7 linked regions of the Coturnix japonica genome follow. The protein of the gene in region 4 interacts with the protein of the main gene of each other region in a pairwise test. Links are inferred from orthologs where the notes say so. Each region holds a gene or a part of one and is shown on either strand. Other genes may lie near its edges. The genes, in order: PDHB, USP13, PKM, TRIM63, MYOT, MYBPC3 and TNNI2.

What was found.
Region 1: the proteins of TRIM63 (region 4) and PDHB interact in a two-hybrid assay, tested with the Homo sapiens proteins (2 studies listed by BioGRID). The link is inferred for Coturnix japonica from reciprocal best matches to the Homo sapiens genes TRIM63 and PDHB.
Region 2: the proteins of TRIM63 (region 4) and USP13 interact in a two-hybrid assay, tested with the Homo sapiens proteins (2 studies listed by BioGRID and IntAct). The link is inferred for Coturnix japonica from reciprocal best matches to the Homo sapiens genes TRIM63 and USP13.
Region 3: the proteins of TRIM63 (region 4) and PKM interact in a two-hybrid assay, tested with the Homo sapiens proteins (3 studies listed by BioGRID and IntAct). The link is inferred for Coturnix japonica from reciprocal best matches to the Homo sapiens genes TRIM63 and PKM.
Region 5: the proteins of TRIM63 (region 4) and MYOT interact in a two-hybrid assay, tested with the Homo sapiens proteins (2 studies listed by BioGRID). The link is inferred for Coturnix japonica from reciprocal best matches to the Homo sapiens genes TRIM63 and MYOT.
Region 6: the proteins of TRIM63 (region 4) and MYBPC3 interact in a two-hybrid assay, tested with the Homo sapiens proteins (2 studies listed by BioGRID and IntAct). The link is inferred for Coturnix japonica from reciprocal best matches to the Homo sapiens genes TRIM63 and MYBPC3.
Region 7: the proteins of TRIM63 (region 4) and TNNI2 interact in a two-hybrid assay, tested with the Homo sapiens proteins (2 studies listed by BioGRID and IntAct). The link is inferred for Coturnix japonica from reciprocal best matches to the Homo sapiens genes TRIM63 and TNNI2.

The regions. Positions count from the first base shown.
Region 1 is NC_029527.1:9,335,764-9,339,777, forward strand, and holds the start of PDHB (pyruvate dehydrogenase E1 component subunit beta, mitochondrial), read right to left. Parts: upstream 2,801-4,014; 5' UTR 2,737-2,800; coding exon 2,638-2,736; intron 2,517-2,637; coding exon 2,409-2,516; intron 2,336-2,408; coding exon 2,273-2,335; intron 2,196-2,272; coding exon 2,160-2,195; intron 2,074-2,159; coding exon 1,788-2,073; intron 1,202-1,787; coding exon 1,091-1,201; intron 493-1,090; coding exon 401-492; intron 1-400. UniProt on the Homo sapiens protein: The pyruvate dehydrogenase complex catalyzes the overall conversion of pyruvate to acetyl-CoA and CO(2), and thereby links the glycolytic pathway to the tricarboxylic cycle.
Region 2 is NC_029524.1:15,317,064-15,320,563, forward strand, and holds part of USP13 (ubiquitin carboxyl-terminal hydrolase 13), read right to left. Parts: intron 2,038-3,500; coding exon 1,943-2,037; intron 1,169-1,942; coding exon 981-1,168; intron 262-980; coding exon 190-261; intron 1-189. UniProt on the Homo sapiens protein: Deubiquitinase that mediates deubiquitination of target proteins such as BECN1, MITF, SKP2 and USP10 and is involved in various processes such as autophagy, endoplasmic reticulum-associated degradation (ERAD), cell cycle progression or DNA damage response.
Region 3 is NC_029525.1:982,278-986,494, reverse strand, and holds the start of PKM (pyruvate kinase PKM), read left to right. Parts: upstream 1-1,417; 5' UTR 1,418-1,503; intron 1,504-4,217. UniProt on the Homo sapiens protein: Catalyzes the final rate-limiting step of glycolysis by mediating the transfer of a phosphoryl group from phosphoenolpyruvate (PEP) to ADP, generating ATP.
Region 4 is NC_029538.1:2,860,550-2,864,658, reverse strand, and holds the start of TRIM63 (E3 ubiquitin-protein ligase TRIM63), read right to left. Parts: upstream 2,801-4,109; 5' UTR 2,260-2,800; coding exon 2,026-2,259; intron 1,936-2,025; coding exon 1,766-1,935; intron 829-1,765; coding exon 660-828; intron 394-659; coding exon 298-393; intron 197-297; coding exon 1-196. UniProt on the Homo sapiens protein: E3 ubiquitin ligase. Mediates the ubiquitination and subsequent proteasomal degradation of CKM, GMEB1 and HIBADH.
Region 5 is NC_029528.1:3,691,056-3,695,034, reverse strand, and holds the start of MYOT (myotilin), read right to left. Parts: upstream 2,801-3,979; 5' UTR 2,638-2,800; intron 906-2,637; 5' UTR 740-905; coding exon 306-739; intron 1-305. UniProt on the Homo sapiens protein: Component of a complex of multiple actin cross-linking proteins. Involved in the control of myofibril assembly and stability at the Z lines in muscle cells.
Region 6 is NC_029520.1:20,541,497-20,544,996, forward strand, and holds part of MYBPC3 (myosin-binding protein C, cardiac-type), read left to right. Parts: intron 1-954; coding exon 955-1,114; intron 1,115-1,318; coding exon 1,319-1,423; intron 1,424-2,858; coding exon 2,859-3,047; intron 3,048-3,500. UniProt on the Homo sapiens protein: Thick filament-associated protein located in the crossbridge region of vertebrate striated muscle a bands. In vitro it binds MHC, F-actin and native thin filaments, and modifies the activity of actin-activated myosin ATPase.
Region 7 is NC_029520.1:10,459,538-10,463,837, forward strand, and holds the start of TNNI2 (troponin I, fast skeletal muscle), read left to right. Parts: upstream 1-1,500; 5' UTR 1,501-1,588; intron 1,589-2,815; exon of another isoform or gene 2,816-2,839; intron 2,840-3,180; 5' UTR 3,181-3,202; coding exon 3,203-3,210; exon of another isoform or gene 3,211-3,215; intron 3,216-3,377; coding exon 3,378-3,384; intron 3,385-3,982; coding exon 3,983-4,024; intron 4,025-4,300. UniProt on the Homo sapiens protein: Troponin I is the inhibitory subunit of troponin, the thin filament regulatory complex which confers calcium-sensitivity to striated muscle actomyosin ATPase activity.

The sequences.
Region 1 (4,014 bases), on a different chromosome or scaffold from region 4:
TGCTGTTTGGGCACTGTGTCCTTTAGCACTTCAATCTATTCTGACTTTGACAAGAAGACTTAATGAAATTACTTCTTATCCTGACAGATGCTTCAGAATGGCTTTTGGTGGCTCATCAAGCATGGAAAATGCTTAATGAGTCTCACTGTATATAATCATGCTGCTACATACTGTCATTGTTCTGCTCATTGTACAGGCAGATCAATCTGAAAGTCTCTGGTAGTTCTGACTTGATTTTGTGATGAAAAGGTCAAACGCAGAAACAAGAAATGCACATACTCTGGCAGTTAAGGCACTTACAAAAGCTTGGAGTTTATAAAGTGATGTTCTACAGAGCCTGAACAAGGTGACCCTCTGCCTTTTTCCTTGTACAGAGAAAAGCAACAGAAACCCCACACACCTCACACTCAACACCTTCTTTGGCCAGGATAGAAGCTGCTTCCAAACAGTGCCCAACAGGCCTAGAGTGCGCCACTAATGTAACATGAGTTCCTGGAACAGAAACAAGTTTTAAAGAAGAAACAAATGCAGAAAAAAAAAAACCCACCACACACACAAAAAAGCATTTTTCTTGGGCTCTTTTGTAGGTAGCATCAGTATTCTCATGCAAATTTAAGTTCCTTACATCTACATGAAATGTTAAGTATTTCTATACCTGTGAAGAATGGCAGCAGGACTATGTGAGGATAATCTTTTGATTCAGGGATCTAAATAATGTTTTCAATACTTTTCGGATTATTTTTTTTTTTACGCTTTCATGCTATTCATTGGTAAATTATAAACAGGCTGAAAAATTACAATGATATCTTCTGCATTTTGGACAAAAATGACATAGTAAGGTGAGAACTTCCCTGCACATCACCAACACCATCCTTAGGCTGAGAAAGAAACCTTCTAGGGAGGTACAGTTTTAAGTGAGAAACTGAGAACAAACAATTGAGTACAATACAGGATAAATCATATTTGAGTATTTAACAATTTAAATGTGTTCCTGTGCCCCATGATAGCAGTATTTTGAACAGCTAAGAGTCCCCAGGCAGCTTGGTTAGTAAGGATACATACAGGTACATACACTGTGTTCTCAGCTTACCTTCCCTTTCTATTTTGGCCTTTCCAATTGGAATAACAAAGTCCTTTGACTGTGCCTGTTCTGACATCTCAAAGGGAACGCCGTACAGCAATTCACTTTCCAGCACCACAACTAGAACAAAACATACTTGGATTAATTCATACCTCTGCAGGAACAGGCTGTACTTATCATTAACGGTACCGCAGAAGAATATTTGCAAGACCAATACAAACAATTAAAAGTCAATCAACTTCACTACGCAGTTAGTTTAAATACTGTCTTCAGTTCATCTCTAAAGGTAGATCAAGGGAAAACTGCAAAGGCTGTGGCTAAGAAATGTTTCTGTAGAACTGCTAGCTTCAGAAAAAGCCTTACATTTTGCACGTGTGCTTGTGAGAAAGAAAGATGAAGGTTGCCCTGATTTTGCTTAATGAGATTCTGAATTTATCATCTAAGCTTCATCAACTCTAAAAAATGAGTTACACTGTACTGTATCTGCAGGTACTTCTCCTGACTCATCTTCATCCTTTATAATGCCTTTACAATGAGTTCATAAATGTGTCTTTCAAAGCTTCTAGATGAGTACCTGCAAGCAGGTTAGAACAGCACAAAATGCTTAAGTGCTGAATAAACTTTTTATCTTTTTACATGAGGTGGGAGAGGAAAAGAAGCATTCAGAAATGAGAGTTAAATACTGCCGTCATCTGACTGTGCTCACCTGGATTATCGTCCCGGATCGATGCCTTCAGCAGCCCCTTGGCATCTTCTGAGCTCCAAGGACTGACAACCTTCAGCCCCGGGCAGTGCCCGTACCAGGCAGCGAAGCACTGCGAGTGCTGTGCGGCAACGCCAGCTGAAGCCCCGTTGGGGCCACGGAACACGATGGGGACGGCGATGGTTCCTGCAGACATGTAGCACGTCTTGGCAGCAGAGTTGATAACCTGGTCGATTGCTTGCATGGAGAAGTTGAACGTCATGAATTCACACACCGGCCTCAACCCCGCCTATCAGAGTTAGACCATACGATATGTTTTAACACCAAAGCAGCTCGTTTTGTACATCAGTTCATTAGGACTGAGGGCGTACTGACCATTGCGGCACCAACGGCGATTCCTGCGAAGCCCATCTGGAAGAGGAGCAAACAGCATTAAGCGCCACAGCTCGGCCCACGGGGAGCCCTGTGGGGGGAGCCCCGCGCCGTACCTCGGAGATGGGGGTGTCGATGATCCTCTTGTCCCCGTATTTCTTCCACAGCCCCCTGGAGATCTGAAAGGATCGGAGCGGTGTCAGCCCCCGCACAGCCCGCACTGCGGCCCCGGCAGGGCCCCCCCTCCCTCACCTTGTAGGCACCGTCGTACTGTGCCACCTCCTCGCCCAGCATGAACACACGCTCATCCCGCTCCAGCTCCTCGTCCAGCGCCTGGTTCAGCGCGTCCCGCACCGTCACCTGCGGGAAGCGGCAGCCGGGCAGTGCTGGGCAGGGCAGGGCGGCCGTCCCTCGGCTCACCCGCACCACCCCGCCCGTACGGATGAACCCCCCGCCCCAGCTCCATCCTCACGGCCCGTACCTGGATGGCGGCGGGCGCGGAGAGGTGGAAGCCTCTGCGTGGCGAGAGAAGGCGGCCTCGCGGCACCAGCAGCCGCAGCGCTCCCGCCGCCGCCGCCATCTTGGCCGTGTCCTCTATAGCACCGGGCAACGGCCCGGCCCCCGCGCTACCTCGGCCCCTGCCTGAACTCTCGCGAGAACTGGCGCTGGCAGCCAGCGCTCTTTTTATGCGTCACTTCCGGTCTCGCGCTGTGGTGGCGGTGAGGCCGTGCCGCGCTCGGTGCTGCTCGCATGGCGCCGCTCGGGGCGCGATCAACGCGGCATCGCCTCCTGCCGCCGGGACCGCACCGCCCCCACCGCCCCCCTTCATCTGTGTGCCCCTCTTCAGTGACACAACTGCCCGCCAAGGAGGCGTGGGGCGGAGCGAGGTGTCCCCACTGTCGGCCCTGAGGTGAAAGGAGGCGGCTTCCCTCCCTCACCCGAGCGGAGCGGGCGGAGACACGGGGAGGGGATCGCGGCAGAACCCGCCCCCGCTCCTCCCTCCTCGGCGGCTGCTTCGCTCCCGGTTCAGTCGCCCCCATCATCGCCGGGCTCTGCTTCAGCGCCGGGACCTGCGACTGTGAGTGTGAGGAGGGGCGGGGCCGGGCCGGGCCGGGCCGGGCTGTGCTATGCTATGCTATGCTATGCTGTGCTGTGCTGTGCTGTGCTGTGCTGTGCTGTGCTGTGCTATGCTGTGCTGTGCTGTGCTGTGCTGCTGTGGGGGGTGGGAGGGAAACACGGGGCTGTGAGCGGCCGGAGGCTGCACTGGGGGGGGGGAAACGGGGCTGGGCCCCCTGTGGGACTGCGGGTACCTGGGGCTGGGGGCTGCCGGGCCCCGTTTGGGATGTTGTGAGGCTGTACCCGGCCCTCAGTTCGAACAGGGGCTGCCCCTCGCTGCAGGAGGGCCGGGCTGGGGCCGGGAGCGGTATCCAGGCGATGGGCACTTGGGGGCAGCGGGTGGAGCGGTGCAGTCGTGTCCAGCATCCTTTGCTGAATCATTGCGATCTCAGGGGGAGATTTCCTTCCGTGCGTTCCTCTGGGATGGAAAGCGGCTGTTCCCGACTCCTCCTGTGGGCCTGGGTTTGAAGGGACGATTCTTGTCACCATCCTGCTGCTTGGTCCCTGTGTCAGCACTGTTGGCTGTGCAGGATGTGCTCCTGACACCTGCCTTCATCCAGCACTGCTGGGAGATGTTTCCCCATGCACACAGCTGCCTGCTGGTGCCATGGAACAAGATACGTGGGTAAAACCAACTACTGACACTGTGCAGAGTGACTGTGTGGTGCCAGCAGGAGCAGGGCAGGTGCAGTTGCAGTCCTTGGACTCCTGCATGAGGAGGGTCAAATGGTGATGTGGGATT
Region 2 (3,500 bases), on a different chromosome or scaffold from region 4:
AGGAAAAATAAATACGCCATCTTCAAGCCCATAATGAAACATTATATATAATTAATCTGGCAAGTCTTCACATTCTACCCTGTGCCATGTTTCACTTTCAAGCCCACACGAACATACTTTTCTTCCTTGCCATTAAATTATTCACTCTATTTAAATTGACAAAGTAAGTCACTGAAAAGCGTCACTTACATCTGAGTGTTGAAATCTTGTGTTGGATCAATTGGGGAGTAGTCAAATATTCTCGGAAGGTTTCCCACATACCTGGGCAGCAAGAACAAAGCACAAACATTCAAATACCACATGTAGATAGATACACAGTCCTCAGCAGTAACACAGCCAGAAGCCCCTTCTGTGCCAGCAAATCAGATTTTGTAGCATGCAAATAACTTCATCTAGCCCTGGTGAATACTTCTACTGCTGAAAAAGAGTAGTAAAGAAATTAGGAAGAGGATATTTAAGTTATGGCTAGAAGTTTCTAGCTAAATAGAAAAGATACCACTTTGCTGTTTATCCAGAATTTACATTCTATTCCTTGATCCTGAAACAGCTGCTAGATGGCATTGCTCAAAACCACAGTGAAACAATGCACTTCCTACTCCAGACCAACAGTGCCAAATAAATTCCTAGAGTTTTTTGTTTGTTGACTTTTAATCAGGAACAAAACACATAAAATAATGCTTGTATTGAGTTTCCTCACAGAAACAAAGGCTAATTCCTAACAACAAATGCTGAAGTATGTATTGATGTAGCCGGTTTGTTGAAAACCAAAGCACTTAGTAACATAATATCTGAGTACTACTTCACTCAAACAAGGGTGAAATAATAGGCTACCTGGGTAGAACCACACTGAAAGAACACAAACACCTAAATTCTGCCAGGACCATGTTTTGTTAAAGACTCTAAAATACTGCTCTGCATAGAAAAACAAGACATAGGGGAACCAGGCAACTAGTAGTAAGTGCTAGCTTGGAGCTACTTACGCTCGCTGGAACTCTGGGATGCTGAAAATGGCCTGCATGACAGCATTGAGGTAGCAGCTATTCCCCAGGTTCTTCATGCCGGTATATCCTGGGCCATACATGGGCTTGAGTTTCACGCCAGCTTCCTGAATCACTTCCCATTCAGAGACTCTTGGTTTTATATCATTATCTCTTAGACCGTTCTCTGTCTGAAGAGAAAAAGGGTTATTTTCTTTGCCTCTTAATTTCTGCAACTATTATACTTGTTGCTGTTATCATCACCAACTTTGTGAACTCTTCTAGAAAAGAAGAGACAGATCAATGAGAAAAGAGAGGTGAATCCCACATGCAGAGGAGGAGGTCAGGGTCAGAAGTGTAGCAGCCTGCTCATCCAATTCATCTCTCAGCTGTTTACTACAGACCACTGGCTCTTTGTATTATTCTCACCGCGCCTTCAATCTCCACTTCTGTATGGGCTGTGTCCTCAAGACTAAGAATAAATACAACACACGTTTTCAAGCTTTATTTTCCCATTTATATTGGTTGGGCAGAGCTGCTACTGTAGAACATAGTCCCAGCAAACAAATCAGATGCAAAAATGCAGCTTCAAGAACTCTATTCTTCATGCAAAAGGAAAAAGCCAAAGTCTGAGATGTTGAAGTCCCAATACCCAGCTCAGCTTTCAATTTGTAGGCACTAATCATTACACCGTCATTTACAGCTAGCGCTACTCCTCCACTTCACAGATAATCTTACAGACTGGTCTGAATACAGTAGGGGAATCCTCCACAATAGCTGAAACTATACATAAGTTCTGCAGATTTTTAAGTAAAAACAGGTTTTTCAGAAGGACCACTGGATAAGAGAAACTTTTTATTCATATATTTGTTCAATATAAGCTACAGACATTGCTCTTCTCCTGTTTCTCTCTACCCCCAACTAGAAAAGTAAACAAGAAACTAAAAAGAAGCTTGATTTCCTACCACTTGCATCTGCAGCATATCAATCCCAAAGTGTGCCAGATGCTTTGCTATATGTGGATCTAAAACCGGCTCCTCTTCATCAAAGGAATAGACATCTACAAAAGCAAAGAGAAACAGATAACATGTTGTATCAAACATTACCCCTTCTCTTTGTTGACCAACATTACATTCTCAGTACAGAAGTGCCTACACAAAATACCTTATTCATATTCTCCAGGTCTGGTTGAGACACATATAATAGCTAGACCCACACTGCTCGGTAAACATCTTAAATGTTTTCTACACGATCAACTCAACTATTCTCCTTTGAGTAAATTACACACCTTGATAGCATTAAAACATATGAAAATTTGGAGCAATTACAGTACTACACAACAACCCCCCACTGCTCTCCCCCAAAAAGTAAAGAAATATGTAGGAGAAAAGGAAGAACACAGTTGACAGGATTTGAAGGTACATATCTAATCCATGTTGTGAACAGAGCAATAATTTCTGAATTTTTTTGTGGAGCTAGAAGACAATGGCAAACACACCAAAACTATGAGCATGTAACTTGGATGGGACTTGGAAGATTAATCTTATCATGAGGGACAAAGTTTGATGTCATTATTGGGATGTCTTGCTTTACTGTATGAGAACTAAATTCTAGCGCTAAAACAGCTCCTCACGGTCCCTAAAGATTTGGAAGGGCAAAGTTCAAACTGAAGAGGGAAGCAGTACGCCTAATGATACTTTTGTTACGAAGCAAAGTTTAATAAATCCAACAAAGGGACAAAAAGGAGATAAAATCTCATTTTAATGCTTACCAAACAAGACTTTAATGAAGCAGTCTTCACCTACTTAAGCAAATAACAGTAAATCTACAGGCATGACGTAAGGATATGAGTTGTAAGACCCACTACAAAGTCTTGGACAGGTCTTGTCTTTTCTCTTCTCTGCTCTTTTCCCCCATAGTATATACTCCTCTGCTCCAGTCTCTACTCATATCAAAGCCCAGAAAGTCTCTGCCAGTACTCCTCTCAGACAAGTTTCCTTCACATCCTACAGAGTTTTCCAGTGATCTTGCCCCATGTGATCAGATCCAGGTTAAGAGAGAAATCTGAACCCTGAACCAGAAGAAATAAGAAAAATTTGGGAGGACGGAGCAAGAATCCAGACAAAGTCTGTTCACAGCACAGATACCACTTCTAAAGAGTCCTTCTGCTCTCCCCTGGCCTCAACCCATCACCTGCATAAAATTTTAACAAGATTCCTGCTTCCTTGAAGACTGCCAGTGGGAAAACCATGCTGAAATGATAGCTTGAGTGTCAGCCACTATTCTAAGATCTAAATGCAACCTATGGGTTTATCAGTCCTATGAAAAACATTAACTCTCAAACCAAGGAATGGTGTTTTTGAGTCACGCTGCTATCTGCCGTCAGCAGCCATCAGACCCTCTATTAACATTGGTTCTGATGACCCCTCTGGCATGCATGGAGCTGTAGCTGCTCATCTACTGGAATTCCACTGTGTAGTAGCAGGCATGCTCAGAGGACTTGACAGCTCATCCACATATAAC
Region 3 (4,217 bases), on a different chromosome or scaffold from region 4:
CCACATTCGGTCCCCATGGCCTCACATTGGGTGTCTGCACTTCTCTCTCATTGACCCCAGCACACGGTCCCTGTGGTCCCTCAGTTCCTCATGGTCTCTATGGCTCCACGTTGGTTCCCCATAGGTCCTTGTACCCTCCCATTAGATCCCTGTGGTCACCACTCAGTGCCCCCAGCATAGGAACCCTATGGTCCCTCACGGTCCCTATGGCCCCATGTTGAGTCCCCTTGGCCTCACACTGGATGCCCCATGGTCTCTGCTTAGTGTCCCCAAATGTCCTTAGCACAGTTTCCATGGTCCCCCTTGGTGCTCATGGCCTCATGCTGGGTGCCCACAGTTCCCCTGGCCTCACACTGGGTTCCTACAGGTTCCCCTGTTTCTTCATGGTTGCCCCCACTCTCTCTGGCCCCACACTTGGTCCCCATGGTCTCCACTTAGTGTCACCAGCACAGTGTCCCCATGGCTGTGGCACTGGGTGCCCACTTTGGGTGCTACATTACTGTCACAAGGACCCCAAGAGGACCTCAGAACAGAGCCCCTACTTGTGGTGCTGGCACACTGTCCCCTGCACAATGTCCTGATGATCCCAATGCAGAACATCCAGGTAGGGTCCTCCATGGTCCCAGCAGTGTCCCTATGGTCCCAGCACAGGGTCCCCCCATTGCTGGCACCATGTACCCATAGATCCAGCACAGTGTTCTCATGTCCCTGCCTTTCTCTCCCTTTTTTGGGATGACCTGGGGACACCCCACACCAATCAGAACCATGGGGACACCAACTCGATGGCTGCTGACAAGTTCGGGTGCCCAGGCCAGCTCTGTAACTCGAGATACCTATTTTTGTCCCCAAGTGTCTATTTCTGTCCCCAGACCTCAGAGCTGGCAGCAGGGGGATGGCACGTTTCCCCCTGCACCCCATCTTCTGTGGGTGTCACCGCGTTGGGGGGCTATGTGTGACGAAGCCACATGGGTGCAATGACCTTTTCTCACTGGGACACCTGTTTTGTCCCCTAGATTCGGGGAAAACCCCATTGACACATGGGGGACATCGCGGGGTGGCTCAGAGGCCAGCAGGAGCCACTTCACGGCGTCCCTCGGCGGTCCGGCATCCCTGCAGGTACCGTGGGCAAGGGGCTCGGGTGGGAGAGCCGAGGGGAGCGGAGCCATTAAGAGCAGCGCGGCCCCTTTAAGAGCAGCGCGGCCCCTTTAAGAGCAGCGCGGTCCCTTTAAGGCCGCAGCCACTCTTCCCCCGCGTGCTCTCCGGCTGCGCTTGCCGCCCTCTGATTGGCTGCGCGGTGCGTGAGAGTTAAAGCGCTTCCTCCGCAGCTTGCGCGTCCGCCGAAAAAAGGAGTCCCGGCCGTTCGCCCCGTTGCGCAGTGGGCGGAGGGATCCGCGGGGCGGTGCTTCGGCCGGGATCACCTTGGCTTTGCGGCGGGGCGGCGTGCAGAGCGGCGGAGGGGCTCGTAGAGGACGCGTCCGGGCACAGCCGCGGCAGCACCAGGAGGTAACGGCGGCCTCCGGCTCCCACAGGGAGGGCGTTGAAGGAGGGCGGGTAGCCGAGGCCGCCGTCATCGTCGCCGGACCCGGCGTTCAAGCGGGAGTGTTAAGCTCAGGGCAGGGCGATGAGACGCCGAGGGGGCGCTGAGGGGAAGGGCGGCTCCACGCGGCTGGGGTAGCGGCGGCGGAGGGATGGATGGATGGATGGATGTGTGTGTGTGTAGGTGTGTGTGTGTGTAGGTGTGTGTGTGTGTAGGTGTGTGTGTATGTAGGTGCGTGTGTGTAGGTGTGTGTGTATGTAGGTGCGTGTGTGCCCCCAGCGCTCCGCCCGCCCGCCCTGACTCAGCCGTCGGTGCCGCGGCCACGTGCCGTGTCCCCGCTCGGCTCTTGCCGAGGCTCCCCGCTCTCCCAGCCCCGTGCTCCCATCCGTCCCCCTGTAGCCGCCTGCCCGCTCCCTCCGCCCCGCTGCGGCCTTTGAGGCGCTCGGGGGCCGTGAATGGGGCTACGGCGCTTTCGTTGGCGGGGGGCGGCGTGCGGAGCCCGCTCGGTGCCGCTCCGTTAAGGCGCAGCGCTGCTCGGGGAGCGGGTGGGAGCGCGGGGCCGGGTTCGGGCATCGTCCTGCCCCAGGGACGGCACTGGAACGGGAGGGGATGGCGGGGGGGTGTTAGAACTGGGGAACCGCCCTCCGACGCCGGCCCGAAACCGCCGCCGTGAGCGCTCGGCCCGCTCCCGAGCCGCCGTCGGACGGTTGCGGGAGGCGGAGGAACGAACGGGCTCGGCCGAGCGCCGCCACCACGTGCTGCCGTGTGCGGGGGGAGGGGGCGGCGCCGCGCGGTGCGGGTCGGCACGTACGGCATGGGCGGCACTGGGGGGTGTGAGCTGCGCGGGGCATAAGGGGCATAAGCTCCACGCCATAAGTTCGTCGCCCGCGCTTCTTCCCTTCTGATTAAACAGGCTTCGCTTGAGCCTGCCCCGTGCCCTTGTCCTCTAGGAAGGGCAGCCGCAGCACAGCAGCGCGATGCCCAAAGCTCATCCTCCGCCTTGTGGCTCGGCGTCCCGTCCCGGCCGTCCCCACGAGGGCTGCCTTGGAGGCCATCTTGCAGTTGCATAAGGATGCGGCGAAACCTCCCGCAGTACGAGTCATCCCCCCCTCCCTGCCGGGGGGCCCGCCGTGTTGGCGGCGTGCTGGGAGCCCGGCTGCGTGGCCGTGGGGTGGGGATGGCGGTGGGGCTGAGCCTCCGTCGTGCCCCGGGCACGGCTGGGATGCCGCAGCCGGACGTTCCGTAAGTCACTGAGTCACCCCGCTGCTCGGCCCGCTGCCCTCCAACGGTCCGGCCCTTCTGGAATGTTCAGCGGCCGGGGAGGCATCGGCCATTTTGAGCGTGCCCTGCCTGGAATGGGGTGATACCTGGAGGGATTTAAGAGTTACGCCCCGAGAAAGGAAAGCTGCTTTGTGCAGGGAATCAGGCTTTGCGAGGTATTACTCCCCACCCCCTTCCCAGCTCAGCTCACTGTGCCTGCAGGTGTTTCTTAAAAGACAAAAAGTGGGAAATGCCAGACGTTCCTCTTGGGGTTATAAAACAGCCCCTTGGAGCATCCATCCTTGCAATTGGAATGCAGGAGGAAGCAGAGGAACGTGGGGCTCCCTGCAGCCCTGCAGATGGTGGCTGGGTTTTTATTCTGGTGCCGTGTTTCTTCTGTCCTCCCCATACAAGGTCACTGCGTGGCTGCAAAATCTCAGGGGATTCTGACTCCAAGCAATTTAACTCTCCTCCCTTCTTAGACTATTGCAAAGCCTTCGGGGCTTGAAAATCACACTTACAAATGACTTCAGTGGGTGGGGAGTTTCCACAAGGAGGAAGCCGCCTCCAAAGCAGGGCGGCTGTGCTCCTGTATGAGCTGCACTCAGTGCTCTGTTCTCCCCAGCCCTATTCCCTACAGCCACTATTCCCCGCAGTCACACAGGCTCTTTCTGCTGCTGTTTGCAGAGGCAGTTTCCTGGCAGAGGCCCTTTGTCCTGTCCAGCAGGTGCTCCAGGATGCACCAGCAGATGTTAGAAGGCTGAAACACAGTGTTCAGGTCTGAGCAGCGGGCATCCCTGTAATAAAACGCCTTTGTTGAGGCTTTTATGTGGGCAGGCTTTCTTGTACTGACTGAAGTGAATCAGCAGCTTCTGGCAGGGCTGAGGTAAAGGCCGCCTGCCAGGACAAATTATGGTTTCTGCTGGCCCATCTTTGCGCTCCATTTCATGCGTCGATGAGGTGATGGTGAGTCAGGGCTGCCTGCGAGAGGATCTGCACGTAGGAGGGGGGAGCGGCTGCTCAGGGACCTCCGTGCTCACACTGCTCCCTTCTGCTCAGCTTTAGAGGAGCTGCTGGTTTATTAATGCCCTGTGCAGATGGAGGTGCAGCGTGGGGAAAAAAATGGTGAGCTTTGTTCATGTGCCAGATGGGAGTGTGTCCCTGCATGGCGCAGTGTGCCGAGGGTGAGCAGCCCCCCACACCTTGGGGAGCAATGCACTGAAGCTGGTGGCAGCAGCATGCGAAAAGCTGAGCCTTGCACAGGCACAAAGTCCTGTCTCACCTGGCTGTAAATGCAGGAGAGGACAGGCAGGTTTTAGTTGCGTTGCTGATTGAGGACAGAATTCCCAGCCGGGTGTGCTCCCATTGCAGCACACATCAGTGTTTCACTTCAGCTTTCTCATGGGGTTGGGACCTTCCC
Region 4 (4,109 bases):
GGATGGCCGTCTCCACCAGCCGGCTGGACTTCTCCAGCTGCTCCTTGTACTTGTGGATGAGGCCCTGCACAAAGCCTGTCTTGTCCTCCTGCTCACGGGTGATGCGTCCCAGTAGCTCCGTCTTCTTCTCCTCCAGCAGAGCCATAAACGCATCAAAACGTGAGCAGAGCTCTTGCTTGGCCGCCTCGCTGTTCTCCTATGGGGACAAAGATGTGTCCTTCCAGCCCCTGTGTCCTCTGCTCAGGGGCTGCCTCCCCCAGCACTTGGTTTCTGGGGGGATGTTTCCATGTCCCTCACCTCAGTGCTGCGGCAGGAATCTTCCAGCTGGGAAATGATGGTCTGGATGCGGTCGTTCCCCGCTACTAGCATGGAAATGCAGTTGTTCAGCTCGCTCTGGGAAGGGACAGATGGACAGAAGCAGCTTTAACCCCTGCAGGGCACAGATGGGTGCTGCCAGGGTATCACGATCCAGCCCCCATCCCACAGGCTGAGAGGGGGGGGCATCGCACTAAATATAGGCCTGTCTCCTGGTCAAAGTCAGCCTGCTGCCTATTAATACCCCATGAGGCATCCCAATGCTATTTGCAGCCACCCTAGCTCAGCACATCGCCCAGATCTGGCCATTCCCCACTGTGGCCCCATGTCCCCCCATGTTGCACCTTCTGGCCCTGGAAGATGCTCTGCAGAGGGGCGACTTCGCAGTCCTTGTGAGCACCGAAGACCTTGCACATGGAGCAGGTGGGGACCTCGCAGGTGACGCAGTAGATGTTGATCCTCTCATCCTCATGATCCTTGCACATGGGGTGCTCCCCCTTCTTGAGCGGCCTGCTGGAGAGAGCAGCCCAACCACAATGACATCCCCAGCACAATGACATCCCCACCATATTGACGTCATGTCCCCATCATGGTGACGTCCCCACAGCAGTGACCTCCCCACCCAATGCAGAACTACTGCCCCATAACCGGATCCTGGCCTTATCCTCCTGCATGCCCAGTAAGCCCAGTTTGTAGCAGTGTGTCATCAGGCATGGCAGCAGTTGGGGCCACGCTCCAGGGATGCTACACAAGCTCCTAATTTTAGCTGAGTGCTGCTGGCATTTATTATTATCATCCAACGCGTGACCCGGGCAGGGGCTCCAGGGAGCTCAGGGGGGTGACAGCCATTGAGTCACCACTGGGGGGTTCGCCAGCTCCCCCCCGGGGGCTGCTGCCACCTGCCACGTGCCTTCCATCCCTGTTCCCATGGAGCTGGAACAATATTTACAGTGGGGCAGGAGAATGGGGAGATGAACTCACATGTCTGGGTCCTTTAAAAAACATCACCCCCCTGTTTGTCCCCCTCCTGCTGCACCTCTGCCACTAAGTAATGCTGTCAGACCCCTCAGGCTGTCCCCCTGTCCCTTATCATTCCCTGCTGTCACAAGCAGAGCCTGGATTTGTCCCTCACACCCCTTATCTTCAACATAAAGCCAAAGCTGCAGGGTGCCAGGATGGGGGCTGGATTCGTTCTTCTGCCACCCCCTTAGGGTCCCCCTGTCCCCACAGAGCAACCGCAGACTAGAACAGCACAGGCTGGGAGGGAGGTTTGGGCTGGGAGATGGAGATTTGTGTTGGGGGTGAAGATTCGAGTTGAGAATGGAGATCTCAATTGTGAGGTGGAGATTTGGGTTAGGGAAAGGTGGGGAGGGGAGCACCAAGCCAGCCTCCCTGGTTCCTCGCCCCCCCAAAAATGATGTGGCTGCCCCTGTGTCCCCATAGGACCAACCTGGAGAACTCCTGCTTGTAGATGTCGATGATGTTCTCCACCAGCAGGTTCCTCTGCAGCCCGTAGACACCGTGGCGGTCCAGCAGGACCTCATGGCGACACGTAGGGCAGCGGAACCGGCCCCCTGAGATGATGCTGCTGCCCCGGCTCTGCCAGTATGGGTTGGCAGCCTGGAGGGGGACAAGGACATCGGGGTGTCCCCAGGTGCCCCTGCAGAGCATCCCAGAGCAGGGCAACGTCCAGGGGGGTCCTCATCTCACCTGGAAGATGTCGTTGGCACACTTGCGGCAGAGGTTATGCTGGCAGGGCAGGATCACCACAGGCTTGCTGAACATCTCCAGGCAGATGGGGCACAGTAGCTGCTTCTCCAGGCTCTCCATGGGGCTGCCATCACGTAGGATGCTGGGCTGGAAATCCATTGGTACGGCACTGCTGCTCCTCCTCAGAGCAATCTCAGTTCTGGAGCCGGAGCCCCTCGTGCAGCTTTTATCCATAGCCCAGCAATCACGTGGAGTCGGCTCGGCTGTCCGAAGGTATCAGCTGTCACATGGCGGTGACAATCGAGGCGCGCGGCCGCAGTAAACAAGCTGGGGACATGCTGGGGACATGCTGTCCGTATGGCCCTGCTGGGGAACACCGAGAGACTGGGGGGGGGTCGATGCTGCTGGGGAGTCAGGATGAAAAAGCACCGGGCTGGGGGTTTGCATTGCCCTTTGCACCCTCAAAATGCAACTTCTTGTGGGGTGAAAGGCACCTGCAGGGCAGCTGATGGCTTTTTAGCTGAACTGCAGCACCTGGGGGATACAGCAAATGTGCTTGGTGCGTGCACCCTCTCTTCCTCATGCTTCTCTGCACCCCAAAAATCCATATAGCAGCCTGCAAGGGGGTTCCCAAGCACAGCAGCACCATGCTGCACATCCCACATGCCCGGCTGTGCCCTGCACTTGTTTGCAAAACCTGACCCAGAAACATCAACAGGAAAACAGGAGTGTGGCCCCTCCAGACTGCTCCCAGCTGGGAGCCGCCCTGATCACATTGCCTGGCTGTCAGCTGGCACACCAGTAAACACGGTGTTCTTCCAAATCCCAGCGCCGGTGCACAGGGAGACCTGTAAATATTGGCAGCTGCAGGGGAGAGGATAATTATAACACCTCTGCTGTGGGTCACAGGACGGGGTTGGGTGAGGTGGCTTCTCTGTTCCCCATAGAGCCCAATGGGTAGGAGGTGCTGCAAGTGGCCAAAGGGATGGGTGCTGAGATGCTGCGGTAAGTGGGTGGTGGGTGCACAAAGCCATGGGCACACAGAGGCACAAGTGCATGGGTACATGGGAGCAGGGGTATCTGTATAGAGGGCTGTAGGAGTGCACAGGTGCATGGGTGCACATTGATGCATGAGTATGCAAGTACAGGGGTAAATGAGGTTACTTGGGTGCACAAAGGGTACAGGGGTGCACAGATAGATGGGTGCATGACCACATGGATACGTGGGTGCACAGCTGTATGAGTACACTTATGCATAGGGACACAGCACAGTGGGTGCACGCTATAGGGGCTCTAATATTGTCCCAGATGAACCCCCCAGACATGGGCAGCCTGTGACTGTTCCAGACGCTCCTTCCAGGAAGGCTCTCACATGTCAACCAAGTGACAGCACAGAAGCCAGCCAAGCACATCTTGCAACATTGTCCCCTTTTTGGCACTGGGAGACCTTCCAAGGAGGTTTGTACATTGAGATACACACCGTAAGGGAGGGAATGGGGGGGGGACCGGATGCACACCTGTCCCATTGCTGGCCCTGCCCACTGAACTCATCACTGCTGGACTTTATGAAGGGGATTCCCACAAGAGGATGAGCTGGAACGCCCCATTCGGTTTCCCAGCCCCCAATGGCTCCTCCTCAACCCCCAGTTGGCTCCGAGCAATGCAGGCACGGCTGCCAACCAACCAACCCGAGCGCTGTAAACACAACCTCCATCTGCTCCCTGCTGCCATTGAGGACAGCGGGGGAGCCCAGAGACGCTGCCAATGATGGGGCAGGTGAATAAATGGGTGAAGAAATAGATGGGTAAATAAATAGGCGAATAGAGGGATAGGTAAGGGGCTGTCATTGCAAAGCTGCGCCGCTGACACGCAGATAAAGTGAAGCAGAGGAGCTAGGCTCGCTTGCTGTCCCACCCCAAGCAACGAAAAAAGAGATAAATAAAAAAGAGATAAAGAGGAAATAGATAAAGAAGAAATAGATAAGCACCAATGCCTACATACACGCAGCCAATCAGAATGCGGTGCGTCAGTGGGCGTGGCCTTCGGGGGGTCGGTCCCTATGATGGCGGCCGGGCGGCGGCGGC
Region 5 (3,979 bases), on a different chromosome or scaffold from region 4:
ATACCATTAATGAAACATTTTCCCCCAAATCAAAATAAACTGTTCAAAGTAAGCCCAACAAACCCACAGGGCAGCCCATGACTTGACTGCCATGCAGTTTAACCCTCAGTTACTCCCACAGACGCTGAGGGCAAGCTCTCAGCCTCCTAACTTGGCTCATTCTGCTCATGCAAAGCCCTGCCTTGCACATCAGAAGTCAGTGGGAGTTGTCCCATTGGCTTCACCACAGATCTGGATCAGTCAGTACATGGGAGAGGCCAGGCCAGACAAAAGCAAGGGGAGGTTAGAAGCCTGTGTATACTTACTGAGGTTCCATAGGAGGAGTTTGGCTGTTATAATCAGGCTGCGAGGGTAGCACTGAGCATAGGAATGCTGCGGGGGTTTGGTTAGGCATGGATATAAGCCGTTGCCCAGATGATGAGCTAGCAGGAGACTGCGCAGATGCAGGTGTGACGGGATATGTGGATTCCTTAGGGGCACTACAGGAAGGCGAGGAGAGCGTGATTGAAGAGCTCAGCGATGACGAGGAGGAGAATTTCTGCCCGCTAGGGTTACGAGGCTGGATTAGAATGGAGGACTGTTTGATCTGCCTGCTTGACTCTGTAGATGTTGAGGATCCTGGAGGCTGCTGTTGCCCTTGACACACATTCTTAGACTGGATAAAATGTTTTGGACGTTCGTAGTTAAACATGGTTGGTTGGCACATAGAGGAAACGGATGGGAGGTTATGGACACTCATAGGAGAACTTTCACGACTGTCCTGGGTTTTGGTTGGTGACAACTGGCTTTGGGTGGGTGGCTGGTAAAAACTAGGTGGCAGGCCACAAAAGCTTTCTTGGCTGGGCTCCTGAATAGAGTGGAACCCTGGCCTTGCAGGATAGAGGCTTTCTTGGAGTGGATTTTCCCTTAAGGAAGACAATACAGATAAAAGAAATGGTACATCACAATTTCAATGGCAGAAATACTGTGCTTTGAGCAGTCATTTGCAGTCCAAAGAATACGATTTTCAGGCAGTTGACAGTTTAAGCTTAAGCTTATAATAAGAAGATTTAGGATTGATTAGAATATATAGAATATATTTATAAACTATACAAACATTTCAGGTAACGAGTCACACACTCCATCAGACCCAGCTGTGGAGCTCACCACAGCTATCTTATCTGCAAGAGCCCTCTCAATTCTACAAGGAATGACAATAAGTTTACTGCGATAACCCATCACCAGTTGAACGCAGACAGCTGGAGATACGATTGCAAAGCAGAGTGATATACAGCATATCATCTTAACTACAGGTCTCTGGATCCTGCAGCTTCACACCCTGACAAAATACTGTATGTACAATTATATGCAGAATTGGTTACTTTTGCTGAGAAATTCCTTACGCTGTAGGGAAGCATGAAACAAGTTCCACTTGCTTTTCTACCTAAAAGTTAACTTTGGAAAGCAAGAATCCTGATTTCATCTCTGAGAGCTTCTTAGTTCGGAGCTTTATGTAACAAATAAAGATCTGGGACTTGGAATACTGAGGACCACACTTCTCTGTTGGAAGCCATTCCCTGAGATTTGCTGTTGTGGCCATTAACTGCTGGGATGGCGTAGCTGCAGGATGAAGTAGGGCACACCAAGCTGCTCGGGGGTCCTCCATTTATTTTGGAAGCCAACGATATCTAAATGTTGGTATCCTATCAATTCACAGCACAGGAATGTTTCATTTGAGTCAACTGAGTAAGTTTGTGAGGAATGACAACTAACTTCAGCTCCAAGATAAATTAATACCAATTCCTCCCCCTCCAAATAAATGAAAAGCTACTAATAAAAAATGAGAATGTAAATCCACACAGTTACATGTGCTGGAAAAAATTGTAATCTTGCCCCACTGAGATCAGCTGTTTAGCTGCTATATATACACAGTATATTGTATTCCTCTCATTGGAGAGCCCAAAGAGGTGAGAAATTCCTAGGGGAGGGAATCAACTGAAGACATTGCTCTTGTCTTATGAGGTTTCAAAGCTTTCATTTCCTAAAGGTAATTAAAACATTAGTAGTAAATTAACAGTAACTAAACAGGTTTCATAGTAACGATTCCCTCATTTCCCCCTGGTTGCCTTCTTGGAATTTGAAGCCAGATCAGATTTTTTGGAGCGTATCCAAACTATCTTCTCATTCACTGGTGCAGAAAACTGGTCGAATCTTGTTTTTATACTGCTTTGACATCAGTGTACAGATTCATTCTTTTTATGTACAGGCTCTGTACAGACCTTTCTTTCCTAGCACACTGCAGTTCAATAAGACACTGAGCTGCTGCCCTGCCACGCACAGATCTGCTCCTCACAGCGAGGGGTAAGTTATGTTTCCCTCCAATCATTCCACCTGGCTCTGGGTGGAAGCAGAAAAATCCAAACAGATTTGGACTTTACAAGATGACAACAAGAAGCAGTAAGAGCCACTTTGCTTTATCAGTGTTTTTTTTTTTTTTCCCCCTTCTTTGCCTTCCATATTACATTTGACACTACGGTACCTTAAAGGTACATTTCTATTTCTATCTCAGCATTACCCAGCACATTGTAACTTCCCATGCCAACTCAATAACCAGATTTGCAATAAAAAGGGCTGGAAAAAAAAAAAAAAAAGCCTTACCTACAGCCTAGAAGTTGTCACCTGGGCTTTAAGCCGTATTTTGGGAAGGGACCGTCATTCACTGACACAGACTATCATAGTAGTCCTCTGCGTAGCATTATAAGACCAGAGACTTTAATGTGGTGCCAGCAAATGACACTGCTGGACCTGCCTGTCCTCCTGCTTACACCAGTGTCAGAATAAGAGTCTCCAGCCCAGCCCTAGCTGAGGGCACTTTATTTATGGGCCAGAACCTCATTTTTTGGCAGGTGCCTGAAGTCAGCAAATCACGCTGTGGGCAGCAGTGAGACCTGCCCATGGAGCCCTCCCTAAGTCCTGCTTAGTAGTTCAGTGAAATCCCTTCTTTGCTCATTTACCACAACTAGCAGCAACTAATCGTAGTGATTAAAACTCAGTGCTGCTTTCAGGGTTGTGTACACCAGCTGTCAGGGCTAGGAAGGAAGCGGTGAGCAGCACAATGCAGCACTGCTCACAGCTGGCAGTGCCCTGTGCTTGGCACTGCTGCTCACACCACAGCACACAGTAACACTGCTGGGGGTGGAATAACCACGTGTGTCTGAAGAATCACTCCTATGCTGAATAACGCCAATTAAACAGGCTTGTTGGTGAAGAATTATTTGATGATATATTGCTGTTTGGGGCTATTATTATGCATATAAACTTGGATCAGGAGAGCCAGCCAGGCTGCTTTCACCAGATTCTGCTGGCAGATTAGGTGATTTGTGTGCCTTTAATCAAAGGCTGCACTGCTTAATTGCATCTTAAATTAGCATTATAGCATTTAAGTATCTTAGTTATAGTTTAGCAATCGTGGCCTAACATGCATACTATTGTTTAAAAAACCTCCAAGCCTTGCAAGGGTGAGTCCTCCAGCACAGCCATCTCTGAGTTAACCTGCGTGAGGGTTTGTATTTAAGCATCAGCTCACCATTTGTGGACAATATCTACAAGCAGGTGTTGATTGAGTGATAATTTCTTTCATTTCCTTCTGGTGAAAGGCAGAGAAGGAAGGAGTGTGGCCTTGGTTGTTGCTGTTTTAGTCAAAACAGAACTGTGGTTTGTACAGAGAGAGTTGATTGCTTTAAAAATTAAACAGAAGAGGATAAGTGTGGCAGGAAGGCTTGTTCAGCAGGAAGCTGGGAGCAGCTGAAGGCCAGTTCTGTGTGCAGATGGGCTTTCTGCCTTCCCATGGGCTTCAGTGAGGGTGCAAACTAAAGTGGGCTGCAAGGCTTCTGTTTGAGGACAGCTTTGTGCTTAAATGGCTGCACACAGCTGGCATGACTTGTGTGAGGGAGAAGGAACAGAAGTGTGTGAGATCCAGAAGGTAGGAAAGAAACATGGA
Region 6 (3,500 bases), on a different chromosome or scaffold from region 4:
GATGCTGATCAAGAAAATCTCTAATTACCATCACACAGTGGCTTAATTACAAGGAATCAATTAAGTTGTTTAAAATTCTTTTCAATCTATTTGTGAATGTTTATCCCCTCTTTTTTTCCCCACTACACTGTAAGCTTCAACAATATCCTGAGGGTAAAATAAGAGGAGAAAATATTACAGATTCAGGAAAATAGGCTGTGTATGTACATACAGTGAAAAGATGAATTTTCCAAAAGGTTTCCTCATATATATATAAAATATAAATAAATAAAAATATAAATATTTTATATGTTTAAGATTCTTCTGTGCTATTCACTGGATAGGCACATACACTTTGTAAAGTTTCTTGTTTACTGTCTACAGATGTGGGCGTGTGAAGCATGGAGAGTGTAATAAATGCACAGCAAAGTTCTTGTTACATTTAGACCTCATCTCTCTGAGGAGAGCATAAAGTCATCCCATATGGCATTCCCGAGTGACAAAAAAAATAAAATCACACTGACACCATGACAGTAGCAAAAAATATGGCAACGTTTTTAGAAGCAAATTGTTCAAACCCACGTTATCTGATGTAGATACTGTTGAACCAGAATGTTTGCTCATATGCTTGAAAGAATTTGCAAATCACCTTCAATTTACACTCTACCCACCTATTATCCATGAAACTTTACATTGCTGTTATCCCAATCAGGAATTCATAGTACTTTGTAACTTCTTTGAAATGCAATCATGTGTGCATAACTAGCAATGAATCCTAACAACCTGGAAAGCTTTTAGGTTCAATCTTACCTACAGTTAAATAGTTTGAGACACTTCACCTCCATTTTTTCTATATACAAAAAGAATTTGATATTATTTATATCTTTTGAATTTTCACTGACTTACATACAGGCTCATTAGGCTGTCCCGGGCACAAGTCACACTGATTTTCCCTTTTACTTTCACTGCCCACAGGTTCTATTTGAATCTGAAGGCAGAGTTCGTGTGGAGAAACATGAAGACCACTGTGTCTTCATCATTGAAGGAGCTGAAAAGGAGGATGAAGGAGTATACAGAGTTATAGTTAAGAATCCAGTGGGAGAAGATAAGGCTGATATCACAGTCAAAGTTATTGGTAAGTGAAAGAAAGCAATAATCACTTTCAAAGCACCACAGTGATGAAAAATATATATGTCACTAATACTATTTGGAAATTCCTCAGGATGACTGATTTCTTCAGATTTAGACTTATAATACGGGGGAAAAAATGTTAAAATATCGAATTGATTTGTAAAACAGAAACAGTAACAACCCCCATGCATTCTGATATTTCCTTCAGATGTCCCTGACCCTCCAGAAGCTCCCAAGATCAGTAACATTGGAGAAGATTACTGCACTGTGCAGTGGCAACCTCCTACATATGATGGTGGACAACCAGTACTTGGTAAGAAGCACTGAAATATAAAGTCCCCAGCAGTCTCACCTATATATTATTTTCTCTGCTCCTTTAAAACGATGCAGAAGGATTTAATACATTCATTCACACTAAGAAGGCTGAACCTCATACACTCGGTAATAAAGCAACCCTACAGACCATTTTGGAATCTGGCCCTTTAGTATCAGGGTGATGGTGCCCCCTACCTGTGCTGTTTGAATCAGAGAAATATTTTGACAAGTTAGCCAAGCATCATTTCAATTGTCTTGCAATTTCATATTAAAAGGAAAGGTTACTGATTCAGGATGTCTGTGCCTATAATGCCTATTGTTCTCCATTTCCATTCAGGCCCTGTAAGAACCATACTTCTCAGGTATACCAAAGCAGCACCTGCAAGTTTGATAGCCATAAACGTTGTGAACACCATGGTCTGGGGCTCAAACCACAAATCTTCACAATTTGATATATCCCTATAATGACTGTAACTGTGGCCAGCTACGATAGTATCTGCAGAAATAGGTAGAAATCCACATAAAATACATATTTGTACACAGGATGTATAAATCGCTACTCAGCATATTTCCTAATTATTCACTCCATACCTGTAAGATCACTAGCTTTCTAAACAAAATCTTTTTAAAAGGAGTCTACATGCATCACAACCAAGCACCACCTGTAAACAGACTAGAGAAGAAATTAAATGTAACTAGGTATAAAGAAACAGCTGACACTGATCTGTTGGAGCGAGTCCAGAGAAGGGCTGGAGCACCTCTATTATGGGGACAGGCTGAGAGGAAGCTGTGCATGGCCAGGATTCACTCCACTGTAGGGCTGAAGCCGAGATACGACTCAATTTCAGACACTCTGAAATTCTGCCACTTTGCTTTTTAAAGAGATATGAAATAAGTTAAGGGAAATATTACATATTCTTCCTATTAACATTTTGCATTGCAATTGAAGCTGTTGATACAAGATTGCTGAAGAATGAAATAAATTAGTTTTTAACTCGTTTTATATATTTCAAGGCAATCTCTCCTTCAAGAAAAGGGTTTTCTGTTCAACTCCTGAGTCTCACGTATTTCTCCAACAGCAGGATAGAATGACCACACCTTTCACCAGCAATGATTTACTATTTCATACACATCTAAATAACCCTGGAAACATTGACTAAATTAGTGTATAGCATGTGAAATATACTTAAGCCTAATAACTGACAGACAATTCTAAGTGAGTTGTGTTGTGGAAAGCATAACCATTCAAATAAGAATGTCAGACTGAAGGATAGTAATAAAAAAGGAAAATTAAGGAAAATACCAGAGCTTCACACAATTAAGTTATATGCAGTAATGTTTGTCTCTTTATGTCATAGAAAAATGTTTTTTTTCTCCTGCATGTAAGACAATCGTTTGTAGTTCTCTTATATCATAAAATATATCCCTTCCAGGCTATATTTTAGAGAGAAAGAAGAAGAAGAGCTACCGATGGATGAGGCTGAATTTTGACCTTTTAAAAGAGCTAACCTACGAAGCCAAGCGAATGATTGAAGGAGTAGTTTATGAGATGCGGATTTATGCTGTGAATTCTATTGGCATGTCCCGGCCAAGCCCTGCCTCACAACCCTTCATGCCAATTGGTGAGTTCTATCACACTCTGATAATTCCTGGAAAAAAGAGGACAGAACAATTTTCACCTCTTCTCTTCAACCATCCTTACACTAAAAAAGAATGTGTTAGGAAAAAGCTATTCTATACTTAATCAGCTTTTTTCCTTTATCATCTTCCTCTTCTCCATCTCTCATTTCCCTTCCTGCAAAGCACAGAGGTTCCAGTTTCATGAAACTGCTGATGAACATTTAGTTGTTATAATTAGAAGTGTGAGAGTCAAACTGGATCTGGAAAGGAGGAGAGCTAATTGACAGAAATTTGCCCAACCCTCTCAACTTCCCCCACTGCCTTATGGGTGCAAATATCACAGTATCCCATCCAGTCCTCCCTTAATCCTGGCCCCTTCTGCAGCCAAAAGGATAGCTGATTAAGAAAATATTTAGGGAACGATTTTCTATAAATAATCCACCCCTTCGCAGCAA
Region 7 (4,300 bases), on a different chromosome or scaffold from region 4:
TTTCCCTCTTCTCACTGGGTTTCTTCCTCATTCTGGATCTGGGGCCTCTTTCTTTTTTTTTTGGAGGACTGCTGCCCTGTGGTTTAACCTCTTTGCAAGGCAGCTCCAGGGAAATTTCTTTGCAGACAGAGAGATTCAGCCTTTTGCTCACCCTATTACCACATCTCACCCTCTAGGACTCCTGTATCTTACAAACAAATCTGTTAACCAACAATTGATTCGTGGGACTTTTCTTTGTGTTCCTTCAACCCACTCTCTGCACTGACCTGAAGCAATGAAGTGAAAGAAAAGCTGCTATCTAGAGGACTTGGTGGGACAGTGGTGCATGTAGTTCTGTAGAGAGCTGGAGAAAATGACTGGAGAATCTTTGGAAAGGGTAATAAAGAGCTGAGTTGAACTTTAGAGTCAAATATGGCCCATGTGGTACTGGAGGAAAAGTGAAGTGGCTGAACTTCTCAGTGGGTGAATGCTGCTCCTGGCTGCGGAGGGTGGCTGCTGTCTGTTTCTGGATGTACTTACTTTAGTCTCTATTCTTTATTTTTCTGGGAAACTGGCTTGAGCTGGGAGAGGCGGGCAACTTAGGAGGATCTGCAGGGTGATGTCTCTCGTCTACAGGCCATGAAGTGGCACCAAGAGTCCTGATGTAGCATGGTTGTGGTGATTTCACTACTCAAACCATCTTGCTCTCAACATTTCAGCATGGATAATCCTGAGCAGACCCAGCCTTACCCACACAAGACACCAGTCCCATCTCAAGCTCTTAGTCTTCCTTTACAGTATCTGCAGTGCTGTGTGCATGATGCTATAGGAAGTCTGCAGCGGCTTGTTTGCTGTTATCTGTGACTTCCAAGAGAAAAATTTGTTGCAGCTACATCTGAATCAGCTTAAAACCCTTTGGATAGCAGGGGAGGGAGTGCCTGGGCTGTGGGAGGAAGACAAGAGCTGTTTGGGCTCTTGTCTCCATGGGATCCCCTACATACACATGCTACATCTGCTGTGGATAGGGCTGGTGAATATTTCCAGTGTCATTTCCATCTGCCTCTTGCTTGTGCTGTGGGTATGTGGTTCTGGGGTGCACTGCAGCAGCTTTGGGGTTGCCTCACATACCCAGCAGCGGCTCCATAGCTTTGAGTAGTTTTGCTTTTTTTTCTTAATAAAAATTTAACATCTGGTGTTAAAATATTTCACATGGGGACGACCAGCAAATATTTTCCTGTGTGTTAACTGAGGTTAAAAGAAGATGCTAGCTCTGAATGACTTGCTCAGGAATGGCTCTCCTACGTGCTGCCAGTGGCTGAATGTTGGTGGGATGATGCATATGCTGCAGGCTCCTTCCAGCCAGTGTTCCCCAAGGGCAGAGCTGCTCCTCTCCTGTGGAGCTGCCTGGCCTGCCCCAGCCAAGGGAGGTGCATGGGGGCTCTTGCACACCATTGGTCTGAGAAGGTCTCCATGCCCTTAAAGAGAAGGTGGATTTTCTGCTGAGCCACCCGAGAAGCCCTTTTATACCTCCTTCCCCGGCCAGCTGCTTGCGGCTTGCCAGTCAGTCCTGGCCAGCCAGCGGGGCTCTCTGTTCCTTCTCCGGACTCGGGTGAGCCCTTATGCATGTCTCTTACTGACCAGCTTGTTCTTACCGGGGTGGCAGGGAGGCACGTTTGCTCACCTGAATGTTGGGGAGGTAAATGCTGGGTGATGTAATCTGCTTGGAGCAATGCGGGTGCTGATAAATCCACCTCTGTCCTGTGCTGGTCAGAGGGTCTGTGCATCGGGAGCTCTGTCTCTCCCAGCTGCCTTCTTTCCCTTTAGTTTCATCCTCACTTGGTTTTGCGCTCTGCCTTAGTCTCCCTAACTCCTCCCTAGTAGGAAAAAGCATCCCCTGCTGTGGCAACTTGCAGTTCTCCCCATCTGCACCCCTCCCTCTGCCTGCTGCGTGTAGCCGCTTCCTCCCCAAATTGCCCCTCAGCACCTGAGTTTCCATAACTCAAGGGCTGGAGTCCCTGTTACTGACTATACCCTGCTATGGGGTTTTTCTGGCATTGCTTCCCCACGCCCTTTGCGCTTTCAATGGATATGGGAATGCCAGCAAAAATAGCTCCTGCTCCTCATCCACCTGTGGTGGCTTTTGCCTCGCGTCGCCCCAACCTCCCTGAGTCACGGGGCCTGGCTGCGTCTGAGGAGACAGCTGCAGCTCCTTGTGCAGCTCCCCAGCCATTTTTAGAAGCACTTTCCCCCCCCACCCCCTTGCTCTTCCCAGCAATGTGTTGTGCCTGCACATTTTCCAGGATAAGGTTTCCTCAGGGAGCTTGGCCCTGCAGCCTTTACCTCCTCCTCAGGAAACAACCCTGTTAACATTTTGCCTCCTAGGTCTGCAGATTGCTGTCTATTAGGGGGTTCACTTCTCTGTAAGGGAATGGCTTCATTTGGGCTTGGCCTGTGCTCCTGCTGTACCCACTGATGGGTATGAGCAGGAAACACTGCTCTAATAAGTAAAGCTGCATTTACAGGGAAGAACTGGCACTGAAAGGTACCTTTCCCTGAGAAATCTCTCCATGCCTTTGCCAACTCAGCAATAGCTTTCAGCACCATGCTTCATTATCTGTGCTGAGCTTTCTCCCCTGCCCCATGCAATGTACACACATTCTGGCAATCCTTGTCACCTATGGTCACTGCCTGGCTCTGTTCCTTATGCCAGAAGCCTCCCCAGTCTTTGAGATTATTCTTGTCCGTGACTCTGTCAGTGCAGTTTTCCCCCTTTGGAAGGCAACAAGACTGAAGCCTAGAGTATTTGTGTTGAGTTTGCTACAGGCCTATACTATGAGGACTGTGTGAAAGCACTACAGAGGTGAAGTAGCTTTTTTCTTCCTTCTTACTACATCATGTAAAGTGGTATATCGTCCAGTCAAGGAAAAGACAAGCCTATAGGCAGTACTGTCACAATCTCTCTTTTTCCAGCCATGCACCTCTTGTCCTGGTGCACATGTGGCTGTGAGCTGGCACATGTTTGCCTTTCATCCACAGAATGCAGCCCAGTTTCCTCTGTGATGGAAATTTGAAGAAGTTGGGAAATATGAGCAAAGCCGTTGTTCCTCTTTTTGGTGTCTAGGGGAATCATGCTTTGTTCTTAAACCCAAGAAAGCCAGTGCTACCATGAATAATTGAGAATTATTTTGGTTCTTGTTGCAGGTTCGTAACCATCTAAAGCAAGATGTCTGAGTAAGTTCCTATTTTCTGTTTCCAGTATGTTGCTGGTGTTCAAACTTTTGTTCAGCTGCCAGCTTTTACATACATACTCTTCTGCTTGTTTCCAATGAGGATGCTAACTGCTTTTTTCTCCTCTTTCTCTTCCTTCCCTTCCTTGCCCATCCGCTCTCCCTGCACAGTGAAGAGGTAAGTGTGTCCTGCTGGGCTTTTCCCTTTAGCAGAGCTCATAGCATCGATCCTCGCTTTGTAGGAAAAGCAGTTATGGCGTGGTGGGAAGAAGGAATGTCCCATGGTCTAGCTTTCCTGATGCCTTCTCGAGAAGAAGGGAAGGACGAGCAAAATTTGAAGGGTCTGCTGGCAGTTGGATGCTTTCCCCCTTTCCTGCTTCCCTAGCCGGCCACGAGGTGGTGCTGAGAAGCGCTGCCCGAACAACTCCAGGACCACATCTCAATTGCCAGCAGCGGGGATGCAAAAAATCCCACCTATGGTGCTGATGCTCAATGGGTGCATTGAGTGCCCTCTAGCCCGGTGACGCAGGGAAGGCTAGGAAAGCAACCTGAGACAAAGCAGCACTTTTCAGAAGGAGAACAAGCCATGGGCTTGGAGTCCTCGAGGAATCTGAACAAGATTCCTCTGGTTAATGGTGCATGATATGTCTAAGCTAGACAAAGATGAAGCTGGTTTGGGGACCAAATGTGTGACAAGCTGTGGGATTGTGTGGTGAAGAGGAAAAGATGAAGGAATCCATCATAACTTACCTTGTTCTCATTTTTCCCACCTGCAGAAAAAGAGGAGGGCAGCCACCGCCCGGCGGCAGCACCTGAAGGTACGTGGCACTGCTGGGGCTGGGCGAGGTGTGTCCTGATCATCCCATCTCCCACCCAGCAGTTGACACTCTCCTGCCTGGGAAAGGCCATGATGCACAATGTGGAGTTCCCTATACCCTTCTCTGCACCTTACCAGGTCACGCAGTAAGACTCTGGTGCGGGGGTAGGCTGGGGTCAGCATCATCCTGAGCTTCCCATAAGTCCCCATGAGTCCCCTTTGCTCAGAGCTGCTGGTATTTTGGACATGGAGAGCTCCCATCTTCTCCTTTGCCCCG